Alligator mississippiensis: one gene and its partners. The protein of the gene in region 3 interacts with the protein of the main gene of each other region in a pairwise test. Links are inferred from orthologs where the notes say so. Each region holds a gene or a part of one and is shown on either strand. Other genes may lie near its edges. The genes, in order: DVL3, ZBTB43, SYT6 and KCTD9.

Region 1 (7,267 bases), on a different chromosome or scaffold from region 3:
AGGCGCTGGTGGAGGGTGGGAATGCTGCCTCTTACACACGAGCACTGGGAAGGGGTGATCTTTGAGCGCTCAGCATATCTAGACTGTGCCTGAAGGCCCTTGGTTTCTGACACTGGAACGCAGTCTTGTAAACGTCGGGAAAATAGTCGGTATCTGAACTTTCTGTATCTGCCAATATTTAATTCAGGGAGCGATTAAAACCATCCTGGTATAAAGAATCAGCTGTTTGAGTATGTGTCTCTGAGCGTGGCATTACCTGTGAGTTCTGCTCTGATCTTGCTGGCTATAGACTTCTCCATAATAACCCATAGCTACCTTATTTCTCAGGAGTCCCCTGTGGTTCAGTGGTAGAATCCTTGTCTACCGCACAGGAGACCTGGGTTCAATTCCTAGATGCTCATGCAACTACAGTCATGGAGGCACCAAACATCTGGTCTTTGGATTTTGTCTCAGTGGCCTGAAGGGAGGATGGAAGGTCTGGGCAACCTCCACTCTTCCAAAAAAAATTCCTGCCCAAGCATATGCATCGAAGACCTGGGTGGCCCTCATGCATACACTGTGAATCCCGGAGGATCAACAGTTGCCACTTTATTTTTCAAAACGATCCAAAGTTGTGCTTATAACAGGCATAAAATGAGCACGCCGGTGGCATGGGGTAGGTGTTCAATCCTATCCAGCAGTGTTACCATTAGGAATTGCAAACGAGCTCACCCAGTTGAAACTCCGGCACTTTAGATTCCTGCAGTGGGTGAGGCTCCTGTTTATTCAGAACAAGTTAAAAGGATGTGCTTTAATCCTGGCCGAAGCATGATCCTCCCTGCCATACTGCGCATTAAAGTATGTCGTACGCCATACCCTGCTGGGGAAGAGGTGGGTAACAAACCCCTTTTTCAAAAGTGTTTACCAGCCAGCTGCGCGATTCAGGAGTTTGAAAATCTCCCTGGACATCTTGAGTATTTTTTAATTTTTTTTTTACAGGGTAAAGAAGGTTAAAAAGAAGGTTTCGTCTGTAATTCCGTAACTGGCTTGTTTTGGCCAGAGCCTCTGGAGTCTTTGTGCCAAGAAACAAACAATTCTGCTTTCTGTGTGTTCTGCATTCCACAGCCTGAGGTCTCTGCTCTCAAGTGGCCAAGATCTCCGTGTTGTGAGCCACCATCTGACCCGAGGGTTGCAGGCACATACCTAAGGTAGAGGTTCAAAGGGCTAAGAATGTCGCTACGTGAGGAAGCTTTGTCCTTCCCCCCAGAGTCTCTTCTGCATGGGGTCCCCCCCCTCCCACCGTGGCAATCTCTGGCTACGTTGCTCAGAACAGAGACCAAGTAGCATATTTGACACCCTCCAAGCCAGAGCTGTGGTGTGTTAAAATGGCTCAATGGCACATAAACATGTGTGTGTCTAGATGTATATAGACATACGTGTGTGCATCTATAGACACCTCTCTCTGTGTGCGTATGGAGAGTTGATGACAGCATTGAAGAGCGGGACAGGCCCAATGATCTGTATGGCTGATTCGGAAGTGAGTCGGATGGATGCAAACAGTGCTTTGGAGGAAGAAGCCTTGACACTGCAGTGAAACGTGCTGGGGTTTTTTTAAGACCAATGTGAGTGGTGGATCCCTGAGGGTTTTTTTAAGGCCAAAAGAGGCCAGTGCAGTCATCTAGTCTGACAGCCCATCTACAACAGATCAGAACTGACCTGCTGGGTCCTGTATCAGGCCCATGATTTCTGCTTGAAAGACAACGTATGTTTTAGACGGACATCCCTGCTTCGTTTAAAGAATTAAGTGCTGGAGCCTAAGCCTATTCACCTCACTGCATCTGGGACTGGGCTGAGCAGGTTTTTGTGCTGTGCTAAACATTTCATAGATTTTGTACATATCAGGGCTGGAAGGGACCTTGCGAGACTGTGGGGTCCAACCCCCCTGCCCAAGGGGAAGGAAGTCAACTGGGCTCAAATGATCTGAAATGCCTGAACCTAGCCTATAGCTGAGTGTAACGGCAGAAGCGGTCGTGCTCGGTGGTGCTGCAACATTTCTTAATGCAGGTACAAAGCTACAGCAGCGATTCTCCAGCGGGGTGTTGCAGCACCGGGGTACCTTGAGATCCTTGGAAGGTGGCGTGCCGTGCGATATTAGCGTTGGTGTGCAGACATGATTCACAAAATAGAGGTAGCAAACCGTGGTGGTCTGAAGTCAGGCAAAAGGCAGGATAGAGATGCACTTCATAGACTGACTAAACCGGAGTTGCATAAGCTTTCGTGAGTCAGCTCAGACTCGCACAAGCTTATGCATCTCCTGTTTAGTGTGTAAGGTGCATCCCTGCCCTGCCTTCACAGGATGAATGCAGAGATTTCAGATAGGAATTCATAATGTTGACACCACGCTGGCCTCGTGTGTCCGTTCTGAGTTCTTAGCAACAGAAAAACTGCACTTCTGTTTTTCCACAGTCAAAAAAAAAAGTGAAAACTAAAAACTGGCATTTTCTGAGGGGTGTCGGGGGTCTAAAAAGAGTGAGAACCACTGTCCGGTTGCATGGGGCTGCTTCGCCTAATCCTTTCCTGCCGGTTTCGTTGGCTCCTATCTCGGTGACTTTGCAAGACTTGCGGGCAGCGGAGTCTCTCTCTGTATTGGCTCTGTATTTAAGCACTCAAAAGCCACTGCCGTTGCATCTTGGTTAAGGATGCAACTTTCAGGGTTTTCGGTTGTAGTCGTGTTGGTCTAAGGACGCAGGCAGGCAAGGTTCATTGAGTGGATGTGATATCTTTTGTTGGAAAGAAGTTCTTTGCAAACTTTCAGGCACAAACACCCTTCTTCAGGCACGGGGGGCTCTGCTGGTCTGAGATCTCCAAGGAGTGAAAGTAGCTAAAAGCGTAACAGGATGTCAGTACGAGATTGCAAATAGGTGGGAATTACAATCCCGTACTGACATCCCGTCACACTTTTAGCTTCTTTCACTCCTTGGACATCTCAGACCTGCAGTCTCCCTCTGCCTGTTCTTTGCAAGCTTTTGGGTACCAACACCCTTCTTCAGGCACAGGGAGACCGCTGTTGTTTTGAGATCTCCAAGGAAATGCAAGCTTCTGCACTGGGGTGATGGAGGCGAGCCAAAAGCCTGTGGCTGTCACATTGCCTGCCTTGCACCCAACTGCCCAGGCCCTGCTGGAAGGCACCGTGCAAGCCTGGGACAATGAAAGACTTGCTCTCTAGCTAGCAATAAAGGCTTCCAACGGGGCAGTGAAGTTTCCCCGCCTGTGCTGTGCACACGGAAGATCAGCCGTGGGATGAAAACGTCTCCTACTTGTCAGCAACCCCTCGATTCAAGGATGCTCACCGCCGTGGTTCGCTGGTGGGTCTTGAGGCAACTTGAGTTCAGTCATTGAGTGGCAGACCTGTCTACAGGAGCCGCTGGCTTTTCTGTTGGAGACAGTAGGCTGTAGGCCACAATTTCTCTCCTTTCCCTTCTGCTTTTTTCTCTGCTTCAAGGGCAGGACGCTTTACCTCGACACGGGCAGCCGCTCGGTTGAGGTTGCCGCGCCATGGGAGTCCCTCAGCAGCCAGCTCCTCCCGGGTCTTGATGTCGGCATGTTTTCTTGAGGTCCCTCTTCAGCGTGTCCTTGTGGCGTTTCCTCCGGCCGCCCCGACATCTCAGGCTGTTAGCGCTCGTTGCGGGAGTCGGTGCACATTCGCAAACCGTGTCCAGCTTGAGGGTCACGGGCAACACGGGCTTCGGCGAGGATGATGCATGCCGCGCTCTTCACGTCCACGGCGGGCATCTTCGTGTTGTGTCGGATGTGGGGGATCTTCGCGTTGTGTTGGCAGTGGGCGATGGTCGCGTTGTGTTGGAAGTGGGGGATTGTCGTGTGGTGTTGGCAGTGGGGGATTGTTGTCGTGCTGCGGGTGGGGACCTCCGTGCTGTGCGGGAGGTGGCGGACCGTGGTGTGGTGTGGTGTCGCGGCGGTGGAGGATGGTGGCGCCGGGCGGGTGGCGGGTGCCCTTCGTGTTGCGCGGGAGGTGGCGGATCGTGGGGTCGCGTCGCGTCGCGTGGGAGGATGGCGGGTGGGTGGAGGCCCTTGTCGCCGCGTGGCGGCGGGGCGGGGCGGGGCGGCGGCCGGCGGCGGCGGGGAACAAAGCGAGTCCGGCGCGGGGCTGGGGGCGGCGCTGCAGGCCCGGCGGGCGCGGGTGGGAGCGAGGGCCGGCGCGGCCGCTCGTGCTGGTCCCGCCCCGCGGAGGAGGCGGGGGAGGCGGAGCCGCGGCCGGAGCTTGCGCGGCGCCGGGAGCCGGGGCCGGAGCCCGAGCCGGGCCGGGCCGGGCCGGGGGCGCCATGGCGGCGGCCGAGACGAAGATCATCTACCACCTGGACGAGCAGGAGACGCCCTACCTGGTGAAGCTGCCGATCCCGGCCGAGCGCGTCACGCTGGGCGACTTCAAGGGGCTGCTGAACCGGCCCAACTACAAGTTCTACTTCAAGTCCATGGACGACGATTTCGGGTGAGCCCGAGCGGCCCGCGAACAAAGCCCGGGGCTGCGGCCTGTCCCGGCGGGGCCGGGCCTGCGGGCGCTGCGCATCCAGGACCCCGAGAAGCCGCCTCACTTCGCTGGCGGGGTCTCGCTCGGTGGCATCTCGGCGGCCCCAATCCCCGAGGGGCCGCGCTCCGCCACGGTGGCACGACCCCCGCGCGCGGGGCTGGCCGCGGCCCGTCCTGTGGGGTCGCCGTGAAGCCCCCCCTAAAGCGAGGGCAGCGGTAGACAGCGGGTGTGGGGAAGGGGCAGGCGGGTGGAGGTCCTGCTCTCCTTCAGCAGCTCGGGACACGCGCCGTGGCTTCGTAACGCGGCAGGGGAAATACCGTGCGTGTGCGTCTGCGTCCCCGACCCGGCCCGCGTGGCTCGGTAGCCGCCGGGCTGCAGGGGTTACGGGCGCGGGAGTCTCGTCCCCGGGGCCGCGCGGCTGCGGGCGAGCATCGAACCCCGCGCCTGCGGGCTTGGGCCTGCGCGTAGGACGCCCGCCAGAGGATTTGGGAACGTGTGAAGCCCCGGGTGCGGGCGGAGGATGTTTGCCGGTAGCAGGGACACGTCTCGCGTTTGGAATTAGCCTGGGCTGATTTGGCCGGTGATACAAATTAAATTAAAAAAAAAAATAATAGCTTCACGGATGGTCTAGAAAAGGAGGCATATGGCAGATGAATGAAATTTGCAGGTGAAGCAAAACTGGAAGGAGCTGCAGAAACCAGGGAGGGCAGGGAAACGAGACGGAGACTCGGCAAGATTAGGAACGGGCAGAAAACAATGAAATCGGATCCGGCATGGGCAAACGCAGATAATGCATCTGGGGAAAATAACCTTAACCCCTGGTCCTCCCAGAGAGGGAGAGAGTCAAGGAGCAGGCACGGATGAGGGGCACCAAGGCAGTGAGCGGCGCATCAGATGACGTCTGCGGTGTGATCTGGGTGGACTAAAGCGGGCAGTGTGGTTTTGTCCAGGTATCGCAGGCATGGAGGAAAGCCATGGTGGTCTGGAGCCGGGAGGGGAAGCTCCACCTGGAGGGGTGCATTTTGGAAACGAGCTGTGCAGAACAGAAGACCTACTCATTCAGAGAAGCGACAGGGGAACAAGCGGGGCAGAAGGAGACCGCCAGACCCATGCACCTGTGGGATCGTTTCCAGGGAGGGGGTGGGAACCCTCTTGCTTGAGGAGGTTTGGTGGCTAGCGGTGAAAAGCAAAACCAGAAACCATTGGGGACCAGTCTTGCGTTGGACTATGGAGAGCTAGAACTGAAGGGGTCTTCCTTCCCCAACCTAGATGGGGAGGCAGGATCATAACGTTTTGCGGAGATCTCGCAGCGACATTAAGAGTCGCTGCGGGAGTCACGGTGTATCTGCATGCGGTTGCAGCGCTTCGGTTCTTGCCGGGCAGTCTGCTGCTTTCCCCGAAGTGCCCCCTTCCCCAGCACCGCGTGGAGGGAGAACGTGGGAAAACGTCTCGAAAGGTGTTTGCGTCGAGGACCCCTTTGAGCAGCTGCAACGTTTCGTCCACCTGGAGGTCCCGTGGCAGCTGCCCGGAGAGAAAGTAGAAACTTTGGCCACTGATTTGAGAGCAAAGCTCCCCCAAACCTCGTGTGGGACGAGGCTGAGTTCTCTGCAGATCCATCGCTCGGGATGGAGGCGTTTTACCTTCTCCCAGAGGCAGCTTTTATCTGCTATAATAGAGCCCTGGCCTTTCTTCCCCAGTCCTCGGCCTGGGTCTGATTAATTATCTTGCCTTTCTCACTTTTCTCCAGGCTGGACAACTGGTCTGGTGTTCCTTTGGGAGCTCCCGTCAGCTCTTCCCATGCCCAGGGAGGCAGCGCGGCCGCCATCGCAGCCCGTGGGCTTTCCTTGCTGTTTCTCTCGTCCGTATTTGTTGGCTGCGAGAATCAGGGTAACAGCGATGCTGCTTCAGGCTTTACGTTTCCTTAGAAATATGCGCCAAGGCTTTGTTGAGTGTGGGGTGCGAGGCTGCTCAGGAAGCTAACGCTAGTCAAAGGGAAGGGTGCTCAGCCTTGACCCGTGGACCCCAAAGTGGTGTCTCTTGTAGAAAAGAAACCCAAGAAAACAATTGCCTGATAAACTGTGGGGAGGGGAGGTTTAAATAGAGAGGAGACGATGTGTTTCTTGAGCCCATCAGCGTGGCGTAAACGTGATTGTTCCCTGCCTGTTACCAAACTGTGGGGCAATGGCAGCAAGTCGTGGTGGAGTGGGTGTGAGCCCAGCGATCTGGTTTGCAGACTTTGTCTGCGTCTTCAGGAGTTGAATGACACTGCTCTCGGGTGTCCCCAGTGCTCCTGCCGGTCAGGGGGAGGATGGTCTTGGGGTGAAAGCACTAGGCTGGGGCTCATGCGGCCTGGGTCCCATTCCCAGCTCTGCTATACCTCTCCCAGGTGACTCCCTTTCTTGACCACTTAATTTCTCAATTCCTCTTCTATAAAATGGGACTTCAAGTACTTATTTTCTCCCATCTATTCCCTGAAGTCCTTAGACGGGTGGTTTTCAGCCTTTGCAGACTCGAGGCACCCTCTGGAAATTCCAGCTCTTCATTTTCAATCTTTTTTTTTGCCTAAAGAAAAATAATAAAGCAGTTTTTATGTTGCAAAGAACAGAGACAGCCCACAACTGCGGGTTTCAATTTGAAATCGCTGGGTTTATCTTGTGAATCATGTTTATAAACCTAACCGTGCTAACGTGGTATGGCACCCTGCCGCATCCTTGAAAGGTACCCAAGGGAGAATCGCTGTCT
Region 2 (7,714 bases), on a different chromosome or scaffold from region 3:
CTGAAAATTAATACAAGGTTTACAAAGGGTAGTTTCTCATGCAACCCCAGATACATCGCTTAAACCTGCCATTAAGGGATGGCTTTATAGCTTAAAAAAAAAAATCAGTCTGGCACTGTGTGACCATGGTCAGATGTACCATTTCACAGGTGGACCATTTCACAGGTGGAAACCCTAATACCCTATTTCACAGGCTATTGTCAGGCTTAATAAATGTTTTATTAAAGACAGTTTAATAAGATTTAAGATGCTAGGTAAAAGTCATTTTTAGTGGAAATTCTTAGGCCTAAAGTGGCCTAATAAGGCACCACTTTAATACATCAGACTAGTATCTGCCTTCTGGTTAAGCAATTTGCCAACTGCACTCACAAAAATCCAAAAGAGACCAGTCCCCTATGAACTGCTTGATCCAATAGAGAACGCCAGAGTAAGATGTCCATTTGTACAGTGTGTGATATTTTCAAAATGCAGTCCTATAAATATCTGGAATCTCTATATTAAGAATTAAAAAGCAACATCATTACATTTCCTCCTTTGCAGAAAATGACTGATCAATTTTAGCCCATCATGATGGAAAATTATGCTCAATTTGCATTCTAGCCAATCTGAAGTATGAGCCAATCAAAGTGCTGAGTGGCTGACTTCCTGAATTACCACCATATATATTAATAGACAGTATCACATTTTAAAAGATCCCTTATTAGAAGGGAGGTTATTTCTGAAGCCCTCCCATGAAGTCAAACTGGCTTACACATTTCTAAAGACAGCCCTACTATGAATTAGGAACCAGGCAATTAGAATGACAGCACCTTTAACCCCAGCTAGTTTCATTCACCTTCTTTCAGCCTTGCTCACTTTTTACAAACTGTTCCTCCTTTACATGAACACAACAACCCATTTCAGAAAGAGCCTCCCTTTCTTTAGGCCTTTTCTCAGACAGCACCATCCCAGGTAAAAGAAACCCAGCCCCACTGCAAGAATTTCAGCTTGCAAATACAGCACACTCCCTCTAAGCACACAGCTTTGGTACGAAAAAGGTTGTGCACTTACCCTGAGCATGCACTTAAAGCAAACAAACCTCACTGAGTACACAGCATTTGCAGCACTTGAGACTTAACCAGCGTTGCTAATAGCACTGTAGTATTAGCAGAAAAACTGACTAGCATTTGTCCTCTTTAAAGCTTCTAATAAGCAGCTTAGCGGATGCTACTAGAAAACTCAGAAATGAAGGGAGAGCGGTCCTGAAGCTGACTAGGAACCAGGGAACCGACTACCTCCCTTCATCTGCAAGGCTTCCAAGAGCAGCCTCTGTGACGGCTCCTTTCTCTCCACTGTATCAGGTGTAGTTGAAATGAGAACAATTACAGTCATATTCAGCATGCACTACCTTGAATATAATTAAGTTAAAGCAGACGGTAGAGCTGAAATATGCTGCCTACTTGACCAACATACACAACTGATATCTGTTTATGGTTCTTGTCACATACAACAATAAGCAAAACATTAGGACTGGCATTGCTACACAGCTAAACAAATTAAGTACTTACATCAATGATTCTCAACCTTTTTAGACTCAAGACACCCCTGGAGACACTCCTCCAGAACTTGTGTGAATTGAGTGGCACCCTGTTTTAAAATACGCCTTTATTACAGTGCTTACTTTCTTGCAAAGGGGCCTGGCAGGGGCAGGCCTGAACCTGCACTTATTCCCTCGCACCTGCTTATCTCAGCACAACTCAAAGCACCCTTCAAAAGATCTCGCATCACCCTGGTTGAGAATCACCGACTCGCAGCGTACGCTAAGTACGTATGTATGCACGCAAGCTATGCAGCCTACGACAGCTGGTCCCGCAAAGCGAGCTGCATGGATGCAGAAACAGTGCAGTCACGTGTAAATTATTCTTGGCATTGCTGAATCATGCAACAAGAACACACAAGGGCAGCTCGTCACTAATACTATAATGGACAATTATGTTAATGCGCAAGCTCAATGCGTAAGTCATGACGTTTTTGTATCTCTTCTTACACTAGGAGGAAGTTGTTAATTCTTCGCCAAACATTCCCATATTTTGGAATAACTTCCCATGCAACCATTTGCTGGCAATCACTTTTTTTTCCTTTCTAGTAGTGCTACGCTAATTGCAGTTAAGTGCACTGAAATAACATTTGGCTTGAACTACCACCTCTCCACAGCGTACAACTGAAACTCGAGGAGACACCACGCTAAATCCACATATTTCCTGTGGCATAATATTTCTAGGCAGGATTACTGGTTTCTTTTATGTGGGCAACTGACATGAAAGACAAGCGCTTTACACGAGCGGGGCAGCGAGCCCCGCACGTGCTGTCCAAGCCCTTCTTCACCTGCGTTACCAGAAGCCCAGATGTGGAAGGGGAGATGACCTGTGAACCGTGGCTGGACGCGCGCTGCTCGCGGGCTGTTCTGTCGGCATGTTCCCGGCGGGTCGGGCGCAGCGGGCGACGCCGTCCTTCCGATGCATGCGCGGCTCCCTTCACGGCCTCTGCCAACCACATCCAAAGACAAAAGCCATTCGCTTGCCAGACGCGGGTGGCGCGAGGGCAGCTTCAAGCCAGCGTTTCCCCCCCCCCCCCGCTCCCGCTGCCCGCCGGCTTGGCCGCGCTGCCGGACACGGGCACCCCGGCACGGCCACCTCCCGCCCGGACATGGCACCCGCCTGAGGGAGGCCCGGGCGAGGCGGGCCCGCGGCGGCTTCAGGCTCCCGGCTCGGGCTGGGCGACGCAGGGCCCGGCCCGGGGGAAGAGGCCAAGGCCCAGCCCGCTAACCGCCGCACTGTCCCCGGCGCTCCCCGCCGCCACGGGCCTCGGCCTCAGCCACGGCAAGCCGCGGTCCGGCGCTCACCTGCGCGGGTCTCACATCGCGGGCGCGGGGTCCGCAGACGCTTCCGCTCCCGCCGCCACTCGCCGACCCCGTCCGGCAGCACCAAGCTCTTCCGCTTCCGGGTCACGTGGCATCAGCGCTCCGCTTCCGGGCGCAGGGCGCAGGCGCGGACCCGGCCTGCCTGACGTTACGGGGGGCGGGGCGGGACGGGGCGGAGTCGAGCCGAGCCGAGCGCGTGCTCCGCGAACGCTCGAAGGCGGCGGGGCGGGGCGGGGCGGGGCGGGGCGGGGCGCCCGCGGGGGAGGGGCGGGGCTGCGGGACCAACCGTCTCCTCGCCCCTCAGGCGAGCCCCGCACCTGCGCGGGATCAGGCGCGGGGCGCAAGGGGCTGCGGTACCCGCGTGGAGCGAGCGCCGTGCGGCAGCGCCTTCTTAAAAGCTGCTTTAAAAGTGGCTCCATGGAGCAGATCCCGCTGGGTGCGTGTTCGCTTCTGCAGCAGTAGGGTGAATAATCCGGCCTCCCTCGCCTCAGGAAAGGCATTTGTTTCCGTATTGCTTGTACGGTCCTGAGCGCACGGGCTCGTTGTGGGTGCGGTGGAGGGGGAGGTGTGCGGGCTCCGCCGCTCCCAGGAGCAGCAGGCCTCTCCTGACCTGGCGGCTGTCCCTAGAGCCTCGTGAAGGGAGCGAGGTCGTCGTGTGTCAAAGCCTAGTCCCCGCCGTCCTGACCGTGTGCGCCGCTGGCCCGGAGAAGGCCTTGCCGGCCAGGCTTGCTGGCAGTGGCTGTCCCCTCCAGGCTGCGGCGCTGCCGGGGAGCCGTCCGTCGCAGAAAGAAATCCTCCTGGGGGCAATTGTGGAATAACTTGGTTGCAAAGAAAGTTTCCTCCTTCTACCGCCCCTGTCGTGGTTTGCTAACGCCTTGAAGCAGGGAGGTGTCGACCCGTTTGGGCTGTGTTTTAATACTTGCCTATTATAACTATTAAACTGTTTTCTGTAGACTTTCAAGCACGTTAAGGAGGAAATAGCTTCACAAATGTCTCTTCCCTGCACTATTAAATAAAAGGTGGTTACATTTTTCAGACCGGTTGCTGAAACGGAGACTCTCCGCTGATTTCCTGACAGCCGAGAGCCATTCCCTTTGGTCTCTGCTCCGGAAGTAGAGTCCAAGGTGAACGCGCAGTCCAGAAACACCCTGCTAATAAGACCGCGTTATAGGTTTCCGAACCAGTGAGTGGTGGCATATTCGGTGGGGTCTCATTTACATATTGGCGAGGGAGAAATGCTTGTTTGGCCAGACCTTAATTGCTCGTTATACATGAAACATCTTGAAAAATTTCAGGCTTCATCCTACTTTCATTAAACTGTTTCATTTTTCTTTGTCAGCATGTGATTTGGAGCAGGTTTATCGTTTTAGGATTCTTTTTAGATCTAGAAAGACCAACCCAGCAGAGTTAAGGAAACAGACGGTTAACAGGCTGGTCCGAAGGCACTGGTCTGTGTCTCTGCGGGCCATGGGAAGGGAGCAGGTGAAACTGCGCAGTGGGCACCAGCTGTGTCTGTCTTGGAGCCGTGGAGATGCAGTTGTCCTGCTCATTCAGGATTGCCTGGTGGACTCTACCAGGTGTCCCTTACTCTCTCTCAAGACCAGGGCTGCTATTCACTTCAGCTGCCTTTTCAGTGAAAGGAGGCATGAAGAAGAGAAAAGCACATGTATGTCAGGAGGTGGGGTACAAGAAAAGTGTAGGAGTTGAGACAAAGCAGGAAGAGTAATGATTTGTTTTATGTTTCTTAGCTTGGCAAATATCTCCTGGGCATGATGTGTCAGCAGTTCTGCAAGTCAGTTTGCCAGCCTTGGAGGAATGGGGGATGTGTGTGTGTCGCTTGTTTGCTGGGGCCCTTAGAAACCAGTACTACATTGCTGGGTTCTCCCAAGCCGGCATCTTTGTGGTCAGTCATAGCCTTTGTAAGAAGAGATTATTGCCTGTGCATTAGTGAGAGTGGGAAATCAAGGTTGGAGCTAATAGTTTCTGACTGTAGTAAGTTGTCATTTGGGCACTACACAGGAAAAAGGATGGAGCTAGTGAAAATCCTGTTATACCTCTGGCCAATCTACCAGTAACTTTTGTCAAGGAGTGCCCTTGTTAAGTCTTAGTGGGTGATAGAGAGCTGCTACTTGTGCTGCTATTATAAATAACAGGATAGAGGAGGACAAAATTCTCAGATGCATGCTGGACAGAAAAGATCTAATTTAAACTTTTAATTTGGCTATAGCTGGGCAGATTTTTTGACGGCAGTTTAAATGCATAGATGCAGTTTCACATATAGTCTTTCATAACACTAAGCATCTGGGGGCCTGGTGGAAGAGGCTTCTTTGGCAGTGTCATATAAAATAAGGGCTTGGTGATGGGAGAAGTAAAGTGGCCAGAGTAACTGCTATCCCTCAACAATACTGATCATTTTGTCTGAGAGAACCTAGCTAAGAGATGTTCAAACTATGTGGTCTGAAGAGAAAGGTGGATCTAACAGAGAAGACAGCAGTTAATTTCTACCAGCTGTTATCATTGTGGACTGAAATTTAAATGGTATTTTAACCCCCCCCCCCCAATATATATATCACATGATTTCTCATAGTACACACCGTTTTAACTATTTAAAACCATTTGGGTTCTGAAGAAAATTCCCTGTGATGAAGGGATCAGGAGGCTCTGGTCCTGTAGTTAATTTCTCTACATTTATGATTCAAAAACTGAATTTAATACAAAATTAAACACAGAAAAGTTTGGAGATAGTGAGCAGCTTATTGACATTGAACCAACTTTTATATTAAGCAACATGTTTAATAGCCAAGACAGTTATCAAAATTGCTTCACCTTAACTCTTAGTTTTTCAGTTCCAGCTTCATTTGGGAGTTATGGTTTTCCTTTGCAGTAGTTCACTGGGAAATTTCCTATGTTTTCCCTACTTTTATTTCTCTGAAACTGCCAGCAGTGTTGTATGCAATGTCAACAAAGAGACACTAGAGAGCAATAGTAGATGCTGGCTTGGGAATTAACTGTGCTGTCTCAACAGTATTGCACAGGTCTGCTTGCTTGGTGATGAAGAGAGTGAGTAAAGGGCATGTGCCTAGACCTACTACGTGACAATGAAACGTTGCCTTGAGACTACTGGTTTGGTTGTATGGCAAGCACATACAAGAACTTCCACAAAATACGATGGGATTCCACAGGAACAATTTATAGGCTGAAAATAGATCAAAGACTTACTTTGAACTGTCCAAACAAGCCTGTGGCATTTATGATGGTGTTTTCATGCTGGCACATTAAGCTAGTTCATAACTGTTAGTTTAGTTAGATTGTATCTTGACTGTAGAGGACTGACTATTCCAATAAGGAATTAAACCTTCAAAACAAAAAGTCATTAATTTATTTTCAGACACTGTCTTAAATGAGAGAGGTTGCTGTTTGGTTAGCTTTCTGAGAGACTTTAACCTAATCTTTCTTGCCTTTTAGACTACATAAAACAAGTCCTATGAATAGAGACTAGTTTCTTGCTACAGTGTACTTGGGAATGCAGCCCTAAAATAGTTTGCTGCTGCTTTACCTGTGTAAAGCCCCTGATTTAAACAAGATGAGGGCCATTGCTGTTGGTGAAAGGTAAGTTGGGAGGGTTTTAATGATGTTTGATACAAATAAAATATCACATTCATTTAGACTTTACACTTTCTAAATGCAATGCATCTCTGTAAGTTAAAGAGTTACCAGTCTTGGAGAATTTGTAGAGGAGGTGCACCACGAACAATGGCTGAATAATTTTCCAACATTGCATTGTCAAGATGCTCTGACCCCTTGGAGGTGAGAAGAGATTCTGGTTTCAACTACACTTTCAGTCCTTGGCTTCATTCCTTCAAGGATACTAAATAGTGGCTATCAGAATAGTGGATTTATTTTTATGGCAAATCGAGATCTCTATCATGGTAAACTCCTAACTGGCAGACTGGGCTTCAGCTAGTAACCTACAGGTAGAAAGATTGAAAATTTAGGTTTGTTGACCTCTTTGTTAAAGCAATTTTACAGGTTTTATTTCCAGAAGCTTTTAATGGGGTTGTCCAGAGAGAAAGAGACCTTTTGTGCTTGCTCGCTGTTTGTATTTAATCACATGTTTTGGCATTTTGAGGAAATCACTGATTTGGGGGCAGATACAAAATTTTAATACTGTACAGAAGCTTTTGGGTCCCCCTTGCCCCCAGCCCAAAAGATCCCATGTTTCTAACTGTACCTCATTTTAAGTGTATAGCACTGACGTGGTACCAGTGACGCTGCAGATGTTTTCTGTGCTAGGAGAAGAAAGACCTCTCTAGTCAACTGCACACTGCAAGAAAAGCTTGAGTTAATGGTTGGCATTTCAGCAGATCTAGGCAGTTGTCAAACTGGTTCTTTTGGACCAAGAGGGAAAACATTCTAAAGGCAAGGGCCCCTTCCTGAGTGTGCCACGCTTGAAACTAAGCTGAAGCCATATGAAATACTTAACAACATTGTCTGAAGGTCTCAGGGTGAAATGGGCACCGAGGTTACTTTGACTGGGAGGTCAGGGAAGGTGTTGATACAACTGAAATAGTTGTCTGTCTTTTGTAAAACAGTAGATGGTGCTGAAAGCTAGGGCAACTTCTTTCCTAACCTAGTCCATGCTCTGTCACTAATAGGGTCTCATAACTTCACCACAACTATCTACTACAGCTCCTGGTCATTTTAGGAAGTCTGTTATTTAATGAATAAGTAATAATTGTATAACAACCAGAAAACATCTATGTGCATTTTAGTGAAAAAGCAATTTATTTTAATTTTATCTTTATTTTGTTATCT
Region 3 (7,455 bases):
GGCCACAGAAGCAAGCGAGGGAGGAGTCTCCCGTTTCCATAAACTGGGCTTTAACCCCTACACCTCCGCGGGTACTAAACCACGCCAGAAGAGCAGTTATCCCCGGAAGCGCTTAAGGAAAACTGCCTTCATGGACCCAGATTCGTGGTGTTTCTCCTGCCAGAGAGGGTTTTCTGGAGGCCTCCTGTTAGGAGACGTCTGTGACCTACCATCAGCACGAGGCGGTGACCAGCCGGGGCCAGCGCAGCGGAGGCGGCCAGCAAGCAGGGCGTGCTGCTGTGTCCGTGCTAGCGGCCCTGCTCAGGCCATGGCCGAGTGCCACGAGAGGCTTTGCTGGTAGCAGGTGCAATGCACCCCCTCTCCTGCCCCTGCCCCTGCCCCTGTCACCGCCCCTCGCAGTGAGAGCCTTGCCCTGGCCACGGCCCTGCGCCAAGTGCCGTGCGACTCGCTGCACCCCGCAGGCGGGTGCCTGGGGTGGGCGTGTTGGCCTCAGGGCTGCTATGGCCAGGCTTTGTCGCTGCTCCTCGTGCCCCCGCCTGGCCTGTGGGCTCCTGATGAAGCTGCTGGGCATGGCTGGTGTCTGTCAGGAAGCCCCAGGGGAGGACCAAGGGGCTCGCTGGGGCGCATAGGGGAGTGTGCGCAGTTGCTGCTCTGGAGAGCCCAGGGCATGCAGGGGGCTGCGGTCGGCACTGGCAGCGTGAGGCATCAGTGGCTCCCGCGGCGGGTATCGTGCTGTGGCAGGGGGGCTTCTGCCAACTCCTCCCGGGCTGTGCAGGGCCTGTGGCTGGGGTGCCCAGCGCAGAGCCCGAGGGGAGGCTGGCGGGCACTGGCCCGACAGCTGGCCGTGCGGCAGTGGAGAGCTGCGGGCTCCTTGACCAGGCTGGGCCCAGCCCCCGTCGCAGGGCACGGACACGTGCACTCACTCCTTGGTGAAGCGCGCCGTCTGCACGCTTGGACAGTGTCTCCCTTTGGCGGCAGGTGCTCTGAAGCTGCCACGCGGCTGGGCTTGGGCTGAGCCATTGCCGAGCCTCCGTGCCGGAGCCCGTGCAGCCCAGGGAGCTGAAGGGGCAGCTGACGTGCAAGGGGGGAAGCAGGACATGGGCGTGAGGCCCTTCTGTGCGGTGACAACGGCGCTGGTGATTTATTACCCGGGAGCACCAGAGCCATTCAGGCACCAGTCGCAGCTGCGCCGTAGCATAACAGACACAGGGAGTGAATCAACAGCTGCTCACACCTAATTAACAATGCTTCTTGTAAAATAAACGGCGGGGAGCAGCAGTGCCCTAACTACTGACACCGGCGCCAAGCGGGGGGCTGTACTCATCCCGTCTGGGTAGGCGCTGCTTCGCGTGGCAGCGTGCTTGCAGATGAGCGGAGCCACGTAACGGGAATCTCAGCAGATGTGAGGTGTGCTGCTTCATTGAGAAGAAACCCCAGCAGCCCCCGCCCCCCCGGCGTCCTGGGTGCAGGCACAGCTCTGCCTGCGTGGCTCTTGCCGCGCAGACGCCCGTACCCACCTGTCCTGCAGCAAGAACTAGGCGCGCTCCAGGGTGACGTGACGGGTTTTCTTGCCAGCTTTTCCCCCGGGGGCTATAAAAGACCTGCGGAGTCTCTTGGCCCTGCTCCTACCCAGCACTTCCACCCCGGCCTGCGCTCAGAGGCACTTTTACAGTGAGGCTTGTTGGAGCCGTATCGTGGAGATGGCACCAAAGGCACAGGTCAAGAGCCTGGATGGGGCCTGTGCTGGGATCTGCGGCCCCCAGGAGCTGCGAAGCGTTGCCTTCTCTCGGGCGCGGGTCCATTAACTCACACCGTGTGCTGAGCCAGAGACAATGACTGGCCCTGGGCCCCCCGCCCCTTCTCACCTCTCCCCGCTCCAGGCCGCGGGAGTGGGAGGCTGGAGGCAGGGGCTGGCGGGAGCTGAGCTTGGCTCTGCCAGTGCTTCCCTCCGCCCAAGTGCCTTGATCTCTCTGCACCCCTGCTCCCCATAAGCGCGAGGCCGGCGGTGGGTGCTGCGTGGAGGCGTCCCTGGAGCGAGGCACCCTGCGCTGCAGGCCCTGGGTGCTTGTGCAAAGCGCCAGGGCGGTCCCGGGTGCCTCCCTGCCAGGAAGCCTCCTTTGTATTTAACTCTGAACACACGGGCATTGAATTAGGGAGCGGTTCCTCATCCAGGGCTGGCTGACAGCGCCCGGCCTGCTCTCGGCAGAGTGCATCAGCAGGTCGTTAGCCCGGCGCTGCTCCGGCCAAGCCTGGCTTCAGGACCAGCAACAGCCTCTGCTCGGCCCGCCCAGGCAGGACTGCGGCCGAGCCGGGGCGGAGCTGCCAGGTGGTGCGGGTGGCTCCGGCTACGGGCCCGTCTGCATGCAGGGGCTCTGCACAGCCCGCCCCGTGCTTCGCCCGCTGCCCCTGGGCTGCGCGGACCTGGCCGGGCCCAGCTGCCCTGCCCTGGCCGGCGAGGAGGGAGCTCGGCCCCCGGGCTGGGTCCTGCAGCGCGGAGCCTGGTGGAGCCCGGCGCGGGGAGTGGCCAGGGCTGTCCCCGGCTGCTGCCCGCCTGCCCACGGTGCCCATGGCCTGCGAGCCCCAGCCCTGCGTGCCCCGGGCCCTGGTGACGGAGCCACGGCCAGGCTGGGCTCTGGGCACCTTGCCACAGCCGGGCTGTGCCCGCAGGCTGGGCTGGGCAGAGCTGGGGCAGGCTCGGGCCTCCTTCCACCCCCTGCCCAAGGCCTGTCCCCGCCGTGCACCGACGGCCCGTGGCAGACGGCGCGGCCTTGGCCCACCGGCGCACAAAGGCGGTGTCCGAGGGGCCTGGCGCAGATGGCAGAGCAGTGCTGCCCAAGGGCCAGGATCAGAGCAGCCTTGCTCCCGAAGCAGCCTGGATCCTTTGGAGCTGTGTCCAATGATCCTATTAATTGAAAGCATGGAGGCACTAGCCCTCTCGGCCCAGCTGGCCTGAACAAATACAGCTCTCCCCTCTGCAGGCTGCTTGGCTTCAGGCACTGGGCCTCCAACGGCACCGACTCTGAAGCCAAGCAAACGCGGGGCTGCCTGAAGAGCTCTGCTGTGACAGGGACACGTGCGGTCACAAGCTGCGGAGGGAACCAGCTGGATCACACGTGAAAGCCACGGACACGTTGCCCCGGCTGGTTCCTTAAGCTCGGGAACCTGGCACCAGATCTCTTCAACGTGTTAGGCTGGGCCCGGGCTGCTAGAGGCGTCGCGATGCCCGTGAGCCCACGGCTCGGGGTGGCTTGTGCGCTGCTGTTCCTGGGCCCCGGCGGTCTCTGTGCAGCCGCAGCGCGGGGCGTTTTAGCCATGCTTTGGCCCCATCCCATGAGTGTTTGGTGTCCCCGCTGTCCCCAAGCTCCCGGCAGGCTGTTCCCCTCCCTGTTATGTCACATCACACATGCTGTTAATTAAAGAGCCACTGGAGCCAAATCAGTCCATCTCTGCAGCTGAAGCAACGATTTCTTGCAAGTAAGCGCTGTAATAGCCCAGTGGCCTGCTCCTGCTGGCCTGCCGGGCTCTGCTCTGGAAATGAAGGTCAATAATTAACCCGGGTGACTCTAGGTTTGACGCTGACGACTGGATGTCAGCGCTGATGAAATTAGAGCAACTTTCCCATTTCCAGACACTAAATGTCGCCACTGATCTCCGCTGGCACGAGCTCTGCCTGTTTCTGTTTCCTGAGCTGCGCCGGGTGCTCGGACTGTCTTCCGGGCCCGGCGCTGCTCCTGGGGCCAGACACCGGGGCCAAGCGTCCAGGGTGCCAGGAGGGCGAGGGCAGCTCCGGCCCCTCCCCGCCCCAGGGCCAGGGCCGGCCGAGAGCCTGCAGCCAGGTGCTGTGCCAGGCTCCCCGGCAGCGTGTGCCCGCGGGGGGAGCGCGCCGGGGCGGCGGCCGTCCGCTGCCAGCCTGGGCGCTCCGCCGCCTGCCCCGAGCACGGCTCGTGTGGCACGGAACCGCGTGGGGGAGACCCGCGCACGGCTCGGGCAGCGCCGGCCTGCGGGCACCGGGCTGCTCCTTCCTGCGGCGGGCAGGCAGCGGCGGGCCCCGGCCGCCGGGCAGCAGTCCAGGGCCCGGGCCCTGCTCGTGCCGCTGCCCGGCCCTGGCAGCCTCCGGCGGGGCGGGCGCGGGGGCGCGCACGTGTCAGGTCCCCGGGCAGGCCGCCGGGGTCGGGGATGCCGCCCTGCTGTCATGGAGGCCGGGCTTTGGGGAGGCGCCGCGCTCAGCGAGGCCCGGGGCAGCCCCGCGCCCGCACCCCCGCGCCGCCCGCAGCCGGAGCCGGAGCCGGCGCCTTCCCAGGCCGGCGGGCAGGAGCGGGGCAGCTGCGTGCCCGCCCGTGTGACCGCCCCTGGGCCCCGGGGGCGCGGGGCGGGGAGGGGCGGGGCGGGGCGGGCGGTCCCGGCTCTACATAGGGCCGGATCGCGGGCGGGCGGCGGGATGCGGCGCGGGCGATGAGCGCGGCGGGCGCGGACGGGCGGTGCCCGCGGGCGCTGCGGCTCCTGGCCGAGCTGTGCCGCGCGCGGAGCCTGCCCGGCCTCGACGGGGACACGTGCCGCGACGTGCTGCGCCTGCCCGCCGACCGGAGCCTCAGCCTCGCGCAGCCAGGTACGGCCGCCCGCCGCCCGCCGCCCCAGCCGGCTCCGGGGCGCGAGACTGCGCGGCCCCCGCCTCGCCCTGCCCTGCCCTGCCCTGCCCGCCGCCGGCACCGGCACCGGCACCGGCACCGGCACTGCCACGCGGGAGGCGGGTGCTGGCCGTGCTGCGCCGGGCCGGGCGCGCAGCCCCCGAGGGCCGGCCGGCAAGCTGCGGCCGGTGCCGCGCTGCTGCAGCCGCCCGCGAGCTGCCCTGGGCCGGGCCGGGCCGGGCCGGGCCGGGTGCTGAGACGCGTCCGCGGAGCTCCCGGCTGCAGGACGTGGCCAGCCCGGGCGCGGGCCGATTACCGCAGATAAGGCGTTTAGAGGGATAGTGAGACAATCCCGAGTTACTTTAGAGAGGATGAAAAGCTTAGAAGGGATATTGCGCTTCATGGCTGAAGGACTAAGCCGGCCAGGAGCTGCTGCGAGCTGGGGGCACACCACTCCCAGGAGCAGGAGCAGGAGCAGGCAGGTGTGTTCATCAAGCCCCTCTGCGCTGCCTGGTGCTGGCCCCAGGAGAGGAGACGGGCCTCTGGGGACACGGTGCTGGGGCCATGCCCTGCGCGCTCGCGCCCGTCTGGACACCCTGGACGCCATCTCCCCAGCACAGCGCCGCGGGGCCCAGGCGGGCAGCCCTAGGTGAACTGCGAGTCGGACCAAGCCCCAGGCGCAGCCTCGTGCGTTCGTGGGAGTGTGGAGGCAGCAGCTGCCACAGGACTTCGGAGGGGCTCCCTGTTGTCACAGAGCTAACGGCGACCCGCTCTCCCCCCAGGTCTGTTGAGCCTTTCCTCCCCTGGGCTTGATCTGGGGTAGATGTTACACAGATTACTAAGTGCTTGAACACGGTCGGTATCTCTTGTGGACAGACGGGAAACAAATGCTTCCCCGGCCAGACTCCTGGGTGCTTCTGCACACCTCTGCGTGTCTCTGGCTCTGTCGGGAGGGGGATTTGGGACTCGTGTCAGGAGCCATCAGAGAGCAGCGTTTGCTGGGGAAAGCTGCCGTTAGACAGAAGCTGCCCCCTTGTCCTGGCCCTGCCGACGGCCAGGCAGCGTGGGTACAGCACTGGCGCGCAGCGTGCGGCGCGGAGGAGCTGGCAGCGCGTGGGGGTCGCGCGCAGCGATCTGTTGTGACGGAGCCTGGGGCTGGGTGTGAGCGGGGCTCCCAGGCATCGCAGCAGAGGCTCTTCGGTCCCGTCCCGTCCCCTCCCGCGCCGTTAGGGGTATGCACCGCTCCCCCTGGCAGGGAAGGAGGCTGTGCGCCTGTGGCCTTGTCTCGGCGTCTGGGCAGTGTTGTGGAGGGGGCAGGCTGCTGCTGGCCCAGGCTCTGCCCAGGACAACTGAGGGGTTTGGTCGGGGAGGCGGCTGGTGCTGGCAGGGCAGGGAGGCAGGTGCAGGCAGGTGAGCTGCTTACCTGAAGCCTGGCCCGGGGCAATGCCAGGAGCAGAGGCCCGATCCCTGTGCAGCTGGCAGTGCGTGTGTTTTCGCCTTGCTGGTCTCTGGTCCCCGGCTGCTCCATCTGGGCATGTTTTGCCTGCCAGTCCCACGCCGCTGTGCGGTGAGGCTGTGCACTGCTACGCAGCAAACCTGGCTTCTCCCCAGGGGTGGCTGCCCCGAAGGAGCGGCAGGAACCAGTCCTGCGTTAGTCGTGCGTCTGTCACAGTCCAGAGAGCAGCTCTGTTGCCCACCACCAGTGCCATGCGTCGGTGCACTCGCTGCAGCAGGTCGTGTAGCCACCCTGCGAAATGCTGATTGTCCCGACGGCTGGCTGGCAGTGCCAGTCAGGACCTGCAAGAGGGCAGAGGCCGGGCCCTCCCGGGGCTCCAGTGTGGGCACACTGGCAGTGCGCACCGCGGTCAGAGCAGGGCGCCCGTGCAGGCTGCGGTGGTCTGTGCGCCCCTGCTGCAGGCAGGCTGTGGCCTGGATGGACAGGTGCACGCGGAGCGGACAAGAACTGTCTATTGATTTCCCATTATGTGACTGCAGCTGGCTGTGCAATCTGGGCGCGTCACACGATGCTGTAGCAGCTGCGTTGAACAAGTGCAGGGTCTGATCCTGAGAGGTGCCAACCTTACGTGTCCCAGGGCTTGCCCAGCACCCGGCAGGCTCTGCCCCGCAGGGACTGAGTCAGCCGGGAGATGCAGGCCGGGGACTGCATCCATCTCTGGAGCTTCTTGCTCGCTGCAGCCGGTGCCCTCGGCACCACGACCCCACGGGAACCCTCTCGCACTCAAACCCCTCTAGGTCCCTGCATCCAGGCAACATCTACATCTTCTCTTTGTGTAACGTCTCTGCAGCAATCAAAAACAAGCAGCAGGCAGGACCCCGCCGTGCTCAGGGGCTGCATCTTTCTGCAGTAACGGGGCCAGGATCAGTGCAGAGCGCAGGACGGAGGAGGGAGCTGCCAGGTCAGTGCATTCGCCCCAGGAGCCAGGGCTGCAGAGGCCTCTTCCAGGCTGACCCACTTGGCCTCCCGTGGCCAGGCTGGACTCTGGCTCTCACATTTAGTCCTGGCTGCCAGGTCCACAGCTGGTTGTCTTTCTGAAGTATGAAAACCAGACCCCAGGGCCCTCAGGAAATGAATGGCCTTTGCAGTCTGAAGGGAACCGGCTCTCCTGCAGAATTAGGATCACTTGGCTTTGGACTGAGTCACACTAATGACTCATTGCTAATGCCCTGTGGAAGCCGCTTCCAAGGCCCTGGGGTGTTCCCTGTGGCAGGGCCGTGAGCTGGAGGGAGGCTGCCAGCCAGCTCCGTAGGGGCGGGGTGAGGAAATGCCCAGACGAGGTGCAGCCTTGGGACAGCCTTCCCCGTTCCCAGC
Region 4 (6,986 bases), on a different chromosome or scaffold from region 3:
AATGTTGAAGTCAGCTACTGTTACAGTCGCAAAATCAACAGGTTTTTGCGTTCGTTTTTCTGATGGTCCAGAAATAGTATTTACTTCGGTAAGTGTCAGATAGTTTGCATTACCCACAGAGGTAGGTCCACTTTTTGAAGGACTATCCCATTTGCTCAGTGTCATGCAGGGAATGGTGGGTTCAACAGACTGATTTCCTTTTAGTGAATCAGAAAGATTTCCAATAAGTTGATAGCTATTATTGTTGCTCCTCTGGTCTGATTCTCTTAGTACATATGTGTCACTTATCATACTGGCTTTCTGCACAAACTTCTTCTGACTCTTGGTGCTTACATTTTGCATTTCAGAAAGTTTTGTGGCTTTTGATACATCCACTGTACCAATCTTCTCTTGATTTGAAACAGCCATGGAACAGGCCTCTCCATCTTCTTCATTAAGTTCGCTTATATTTTCTTTGTCTTCCCAGACAGCATTTAACATTTGGCTAAATGATCTACGCATTGTCACTGCTGTGTTGCAAGCGTCCAGAAAAATAGAATCAGCCTTGTCTTCTTACAATCATGGCTCCTTACCAGTAAGAAAGGAACCACTGGTAATAGCAATGGTTTTTGTAATAGATGATTCTGAACTGCTAATACAGGCAGATGTTGCAAGATTTTATTAAAAAACGTGGCTGGCCTTCCTGTTGAAGGAAAAATGCAGCATTAACTATATTATATGCATGTAGTACTACAAAATTTGTGTATCGTTATAACAAAAAAATCCATGCCCATACGACATGATGGCAGAAATTTCCAAGTCATAAATCAGGATTATTACAGGCTATGTTCTTTGGAACCAATCTTAAATCTTACCCCTTGTACTCTGTACAACGTAATTTGCATAAATGTCACATGGCAGTAATTTTAATATTTTACTAGAGCAATCACAGCTCTGTGATGGGAGTGTCATTACTCTGGGACCTTACTTTTGCGAATTTAAGACCACAACCAACATATTTTGCACTTAGTTTCCTTGGTTAAAAATAAATTATATAAAACTAAATACATATCACAGTGGAGTGCTGAAGCCTAATTTAGTGCAATGATCTACCCTTAATATAATACACGTTTATTTTGATATAGGACATGTAACTTTCACATTCTATTAAAAACTGAAACATAACTGGAAACAAAATTTTCAGCACGTAGATACTAAGAACTGACTCATGTACACATTTTGCCACCAGAATTAGTGGCTTGCTTTTACAGAAGGCTCCCAGTGACCCAAGATCCACTTATTCTCAACCAGCAGCACTGCTGCTGCACTCATTGCAACCTGTATTAATTCCAGATGTTCCATTATTCTTTCCAAAGGCTAGGATTTCTTAGGGTGATAGCTTTTCTTGGACCAATTACATATGTATTTAATTTTCCTTTCAGGCATTTGGTACCAGCAATTTCCAGAGTACAGATAAGATGCACCACTGGCTTTGTCTGACATAACACTTCCTGTACTCTCACCTACAAACAGCTGGGTACCTGCCTGACATCTGATACCTCAGGTAACCTGCCTCTAGCTGACCACTTGCATTCCTGCACACATTTCCCTTGCTTCCCCCCTCCTATCTCTACCTGTTGTCTTCCAAACTTCCATTTATTTGCATTTTCACAGACTTATCATTTAGCTTCTTTTCAACCTTGGAGAACAAATATAACAGCCAAGGTTGCCAGTGTATAATAAGCAGAATTCAGCTTTTTTTTTTTTTTTAAAGTTGCTTTAAATTTTTTGAGTTGGTTTGCGGTTTTTTTGGGTGTGTTTTATTTGGAGGTCACTTATTTTGGTTAGTTATAGTTCAGGAGTGGGTAAAGTGGTGGATCCAGCCAGTGTTTCCCAGTAGCTCCTGCCAGTGTGGCTGGGGCCACTTTCCATGCAGACCCCAGCAACAGCCACACTTAGATAGCATGTGGCCAGGGTTTCCATGGAGACCAGCCCCAACAGCCCTGGCAGGGCATGCGGCAGGGCCCGGAGCTGCTCTGCAGCTGGGCTGGGATCTTGTGGCAGTGACACCATGGTCTGGAAGCGAGGCAGAGCCATGATCTGCAGCCTGCATGCCCCAAGCAAGGGTGTGCAGGCAGCGGATCATGGCTCTGCCCCGGCTCCTTGAAGCAGTGTTAGCGTGATCCAGAGCCGCGATCTGCTGCCTACATACCCTACCAGGGGTGGTGCTAGGAAGGAACTGGAGGGGGGGGGGGATACACTATCACAACCTCCCCTCCAGGAAGAGGTTGGCACTGCTGCTGCTTGCCAGTGCTGCTAAATGTGTAACTTAATATTATATGCAGCAAAACTAGAACTACTGAAAAAATATGGAATTTATACAAGCACCCCCACTCCCCTCTCTTTGAAATGGGTCGGGCTTGATGTTAAAGGCAGTCCTGCTTCTTTTTCCTTGGGAGACTTAGCAACACTAATAGCAGCAGCAGCAGCAGTCTCCCAATGCCTGGTTTGTGCCCAAAAGCTTGCCAAGACCTTTTCCCTCCCATTTAGCTGGTCTAATAAAAGATATCACATTTACCCAAAGAACCTTGCCTATGTCCTTCGACCAACATGGCTACAACCAACAGCCCTGCAACAAGTGTATCCAGTATTTAAGTTGGTCTGATAAGATACCAAATTTACCTAAGGAATCTTGTCTGCCTGCAGGTATCAGGATAGTCTTTTGGTTCCAGCTGTTATCTTTTATTAGACCACCTTGGAGGTGGGCTGGTTTCTAGCAAGCTTTTGGGTAACACAGTATCCTTTTTCAAGCCAAGTGGAGCACAGGAGGGGGTGACCCCCCTGTGTATCATATAGCCCCAGACCAATATGGCTGACCCCAAAAGAAAACTCCAATATGGGCATCTGGAGGCATGTTTCCCCTTGGGTAATTAGTGGGGGTCTTTTTTTGTGTTTATTTCTAAAAACTTCCGTAGCATTTTAGGAGAGTGAGTTTGTGCGTAGGACTCCCAACCCGCGAGGGATGACGGCCCATGCATCCACTGCCTTTCTGCCCCCTGGCTCCAGAAGGGATCAGAAGAGCTGCCCATGCCGCGCACCCGAGCCAACACCAAGCAACGCGCCCGCATCACTGCCGCTCGCTTCTGGCGGGAAGCCATAGACTCAGCGTGAAAGCAACCGGCGTGTGGGCAGGGAAAGGTGGGATGTGGCGGCAGAGTGACCTCACGGATGGGCTCGGTGACAAGCGTGCAGGGCCAAGAGCGGCCGCCCCGGGCCTACGGTGCGCGCACCCGGTTCCGCCATCGCCCCGACCCCACCGCTCCAATTCCCGCAACGCCGGGACAGAGGCTCGGGCCGGGGCCACGGCCCACGCAGGAAAGGGGTCGCCCGGCCCGGCCCCAGGGCGGGAGGCCCCCCCGCAGCGCCCCGCGCTCACCCCGTCCTCGCGCCGCCCCCTTCGCCGCCAGAAACGCTGCTCTGCTCCCGCCGCCCGCGTTCAAACTGCCACAGCACCGCGTGTCCTTCCGCGCCGCGCCCGCCCCCCCACAACACCACGCCCGCCCGCCGGCCCACCGCCGCAGCCCAGAAGCGGAGAAGCCACACGGAGAAGCCAGGCGGCCCCTCACGGGACAGCGGGGCTCACACCGGGGCCGCAGGACTCTCGCCCGCGAAGAGTCCCAGCAGCGCGGAGGAAGCGCGAATTTTTGAAACTAGGGCGTGTGAAACCCAGGGGAGCACCCACGTGATAGCTCCCCCCCAATCAGAAGGTCCAGGTCTCGCTGGAGTCCCGCCTTTATGTAAATAGCCCGCTTTCCTCTCTTGCCGATTGGCCAGCACCGAGGGACGTTCTCCAACGGCTCCCCTTCCAGCCGCTCTGATTGGTTCACATCGACACCTCGCCCCCGCCGTGGAGCGAAACCCTGGTCCTAGCAACAATGGTCCCGCCCTTCCCTAGTTCCTATTGGACAACGCGGCCGGGAAGCTAGGGCTTGGATGCCTTCCCGGCGCTGCCAGTCACAGAGCCCAACTTCCGGGTGAGGAGCGGCGACGGCGTCGGGAGCATGCGGAGGGTGACCCTGTTCGTCAATGGCAGCCCCAGGAACGGGAAGGTGGGGGCGGAGCGCACAGACGTGCTGCGAATCGCGGCGGGCGGGCGCGGGCGGAGCGGGGCGGGGGTGAAGTTCGAGGGCGCGGCGGGGTCGGGCGGGGGACGCCCGGTGGCAGAGTGCATGGAGCGGGCACACCCACACCCGCGGCCTGCGGGCTCCTACCACTGCACGGAGCCGCGGGCCGCACCGGTCCGGAGCAGCTGGGCAGGTTACCGGTGGCAGGAGCGGGAAGGCAGGGAGCGGGCGCCAGGGCCTTGCACACACTGCTGGGCTGCGTGGCAGGAGCTTCGGTGCGCCCTGAAAAGAGAAAAAGTGGCCTTTACTCGGCCTGGGGGCGGGGCTGGTCCTAATCTATCACATCTGTGGTCAGATGTCTCCCCTGGTACAGCTGTTGCGACCCTCACCCAGCCATTAAACTTCATGACAAAAAAACAGCGAAGTGTCCGTGTCCGGATCCTGTACCCATGTCTCTCACAGCAGAGAGCGGGAAGGCGCTTTCAGTCTGCCCCGACAACCCAGGCCCTTGCTTTTCTTGTTTCCTGTCTCCATGACACTCCCGCTTTTCTTCTGAATAGAAAGGAAGTGCAAATCTTTATATTTTAATGCAATCATTTAAAAAAAAGTTACTCTTTTTCCTTCTTACTAGAGTGGCTTGCTTGCTGAAAGTTGGGTGCGTCTCACTAAGGAAATATTAGCATTTCTGTCTCTTCTGGTATCTCTTGTGTAATGGGCACCACTCTGCACTGTGTATTCCCTGGGTTTTGTCATATGGATTGAGACGGACCTACGCTTTCATTTAAAACGCAGGGGCAGGACAGACTTGGACAAGCTTGCACTAACGCCCATCTGTATGTTTGTTGTCTGGATGAAGGATTCAGTAGTTTTAATCAAGCACACATAGACTGATAAAAGATTTGAGGAGATCCCATCCCACCCTTTACTGGTCATCTTTATTACAGTGTATTTTTGCTACCCTGTAAGTCTGTAACTTTCACTGGCATTAGTGGGAGTAGGATAGAGCACATGAGTCAGCAGCGTACGTAATGTTATATGCTGACCTTTTAACTTGAGAGGATGTATGCAGGTGAGAGGGAGAAAAGACTTCAAAAAATGGTGCTAAAAACTTCTTGCCCGAGTTGCATTTCAGTGAAGTTAGTCACCGTCACACTCACTAAATACAGGTCCTGCTCAATCTAGGCAACCGTGGCATACGTGTCAGTTGAAGTCTACAGACTGTTTGTGGGTATTTTTGCACCAAATAGCCATCTAAGGCTATATTGAACATGAGTCTGAAATTGAACACGGGGAGAATGGCTCAGTCACTGCATACCTATTAACCAATAGGTATCTTAACTGAATGTGATCCCTCTTTGCTGTCCTCCTTGGACCCGTATTGCTTGATTTCTGTAATGAACATGAGCATCATTTTAGTCTTTAATTGTAGAAATAGAAAGGATTTTTAAAAAGGCCTGAAACTAAGCAAATAAGTAGTGTTTCACTGTAAAACAGTTGCTACATAATACATTTGCCAGGACTAGTTATTCTTTCACTGCTGTTGTCAATGAAGCAAATCGAATCCTGCTGTAAAGAAGCAAGTCATTCAGCTTCAACAGCTCATTTACACTGGGGCTGATTTTTGGCTTGTCATGCACTGGAAACCCTTACTCACCTTCCAGCTCACAGTAGCCCTGGTTCGGTGGGAAAAATGAATGAAATGTTTTGCTTTCCCATGGAACCCTACTAGCCTTGGATAAACTGGCTGATAAGGGGATATTACAACAAGAAGGGCTTCTATATATAGTGCCATGCATCCAATACTCATTCTTTCAGCAGCAGTCTTTACATCTCCTTATTTTTAACATATGAATGAAAAAGTCTAATGCAGGTCATTCATTTTTTTGCCTCTCCACTGAAACCTTTTAAACAAATGGTTGCTTGTAAACATAGGGGACTGGACTTGGGCACAGGACTTCCAAGTCCTGTGTTTTTACACTGCATTAATGATTTACTTCCTATCCTCACCCTTAAATACTGTACTTGTCCTCTATCATGTTATTATTAGGGTGGCTTTTTATGGTCTGGGTCCAGAGACTATGAAATGTATCATAGACCTTCCCAAACTTTGGACAGTTTTCTGTCCCTTTTCCCCTCACTGTGTCTAGTAAAATTTGTCAGTATGGTGATTAAACCGTAGATAATTCAATGGCTTGAAATTAAGGCTGTTCTGCTTGCAATAGAATTGCTCCTTGCCTTGGAGAGTGTGCTGGGGCAGTGGGGTGGACAATGAAAAAAACCCTTCAGCTATAATAGTTGTAATAGTCAAATGCCTCTAAGGTTCTTGATTCCTTTTCCACTATTTGATGCTGTTGCTAGGATTTGTTAACAATAGCACCACCTGTGTAAATACTTGAAATAGGGAGAAAATTGGATCATTGTGGTTTCCTCAAGGTTTTTTAAATGTAGTATGTCTGCCAAAATCATAAAATGTATGCTGGATGCAGTTGGTGTGCTTATTGGTGAGGGCTACCTCAATAATTGTGTTGGGTTTTTTTGTGATGGCTGGCTTCAGAATATGCAGAGTAATTTAGCAAAAACAAATCAAAATTAAAAGAACTTGAGCAACAACAAGTATTTCATTTGTGTAACTATACCCTGGATTTCCAAAAATCTTGGCAAGTATAACAATTCACATGATCAGAGCGTTGCACAAATCGTAAATAGCAACGCGTTCTGGAGAGGTAGGAAAGTAATTCTTCCCATATTGTAGACATGACAAATAGAAGTACAGAAATTATTTGTGAGGGAAAACATAGAGCCCAAGGCAGGACTTCCAGTCATCCTTATCACTTTATTTAGGTCTCCTATTCCCAATCCCTAATTCATTTAAATTGGGAACAT

The links.
Region 1: the proteins of SYT6 (region 3) and DVL3 interact in binary tests that used the Homo sapiens proteins (3 or more experiments, as listed by UniProt). The two-hybrid records come from large-scale screens. The link is inferred for Alligator mississippiensis from reciprocal best matches to the Homo sapiens genes SYT6 and DVL3.
Region 2: the proteins of SYT6 (region 3) and ZBTB43 interact in binary tests that used the Homo sapiens proteins (3 or more experiments, as listed by UniProt). The two-hybrid records come from large-scale screens. The link is inferred for Alligator mississippiensis from reciprocal best matches to the Homo sapiens genes SYT6 and ZBTB43.
Region 4: the proteins of SYT6 (region 3) and KCTD9 interact in binary tests that used the Homo sapiens proteins (3 or more experiments, as listed by UniProt). The two-hybrid records come from large-scale screens. The link is inferred for Alligator mississippiensis from reciprocal best matches to the Homo sapiens genes SYT6 and KCTD9.

The regions. Positions count from the first base shown.
Region 1 is NC_081830.1:83,882,412-83,889,678, reverse strand, and holds the start of DVL3 (segment polarity protein dishevelled homolog DVL-3), read left to right. Parts: upstream 1-4,248; 5' UTR 4,249-4,319; coding exon 4,320-4,486; intron 4,487-7,267. UniProt on the Homo sapiens protein: Involved in the signal transduction pathway mediated by multiple Wnt genes.
Region 2 is NC_081835.1:67,433,169-67,440,882, reverse strand, and holds the start of ZBTB43 (zinc finger and BTB domain-containing protein 43), read right to left. Parts: upstream 3,006-7,714; 5' UTR 2,882-3,005; intron 2,523-2,881; 5' UTR 2,502-2,522; coding exon 2,404-2,501; exon of another isoform or gene 2,365-2,403; intron 1-2,364. UniProt on the Homo sapiens protein: May be involved in transcriptional regulation.
Region 3 is NC_081837.1:45,532,153-45,539,607, reverse strand, and holds the start of SYT6 (synaptotagmin-6), read left to right. Parts: upstream 1-4,452; coding exon 4,453-4,606; intron 4,607-7,455.
Region 4 is NC_081830.1:23,111,458-23,118,443, reverse strand, and holds the start of KCTD9 (BTB/POZ domain-containing protein KCTD9), read left to right. Parts: upstream 1-3,983; 5' UTR 3,984-4,040; coding exon 4,041-4,088; intron 4,089-6,986. Other genes in the region: CDCA2 (cell division cycle-associated protein 2), read right to left, coding at 1-501. UniProt on the Homo sapiens protein: Substrate-specific adapter of a BCR (BTB-CUL3-RBX1) E3 ubiquitin-protein ligase complex, which mediates the ubiquitination of target proteins, leading to their degradation by the proteasome.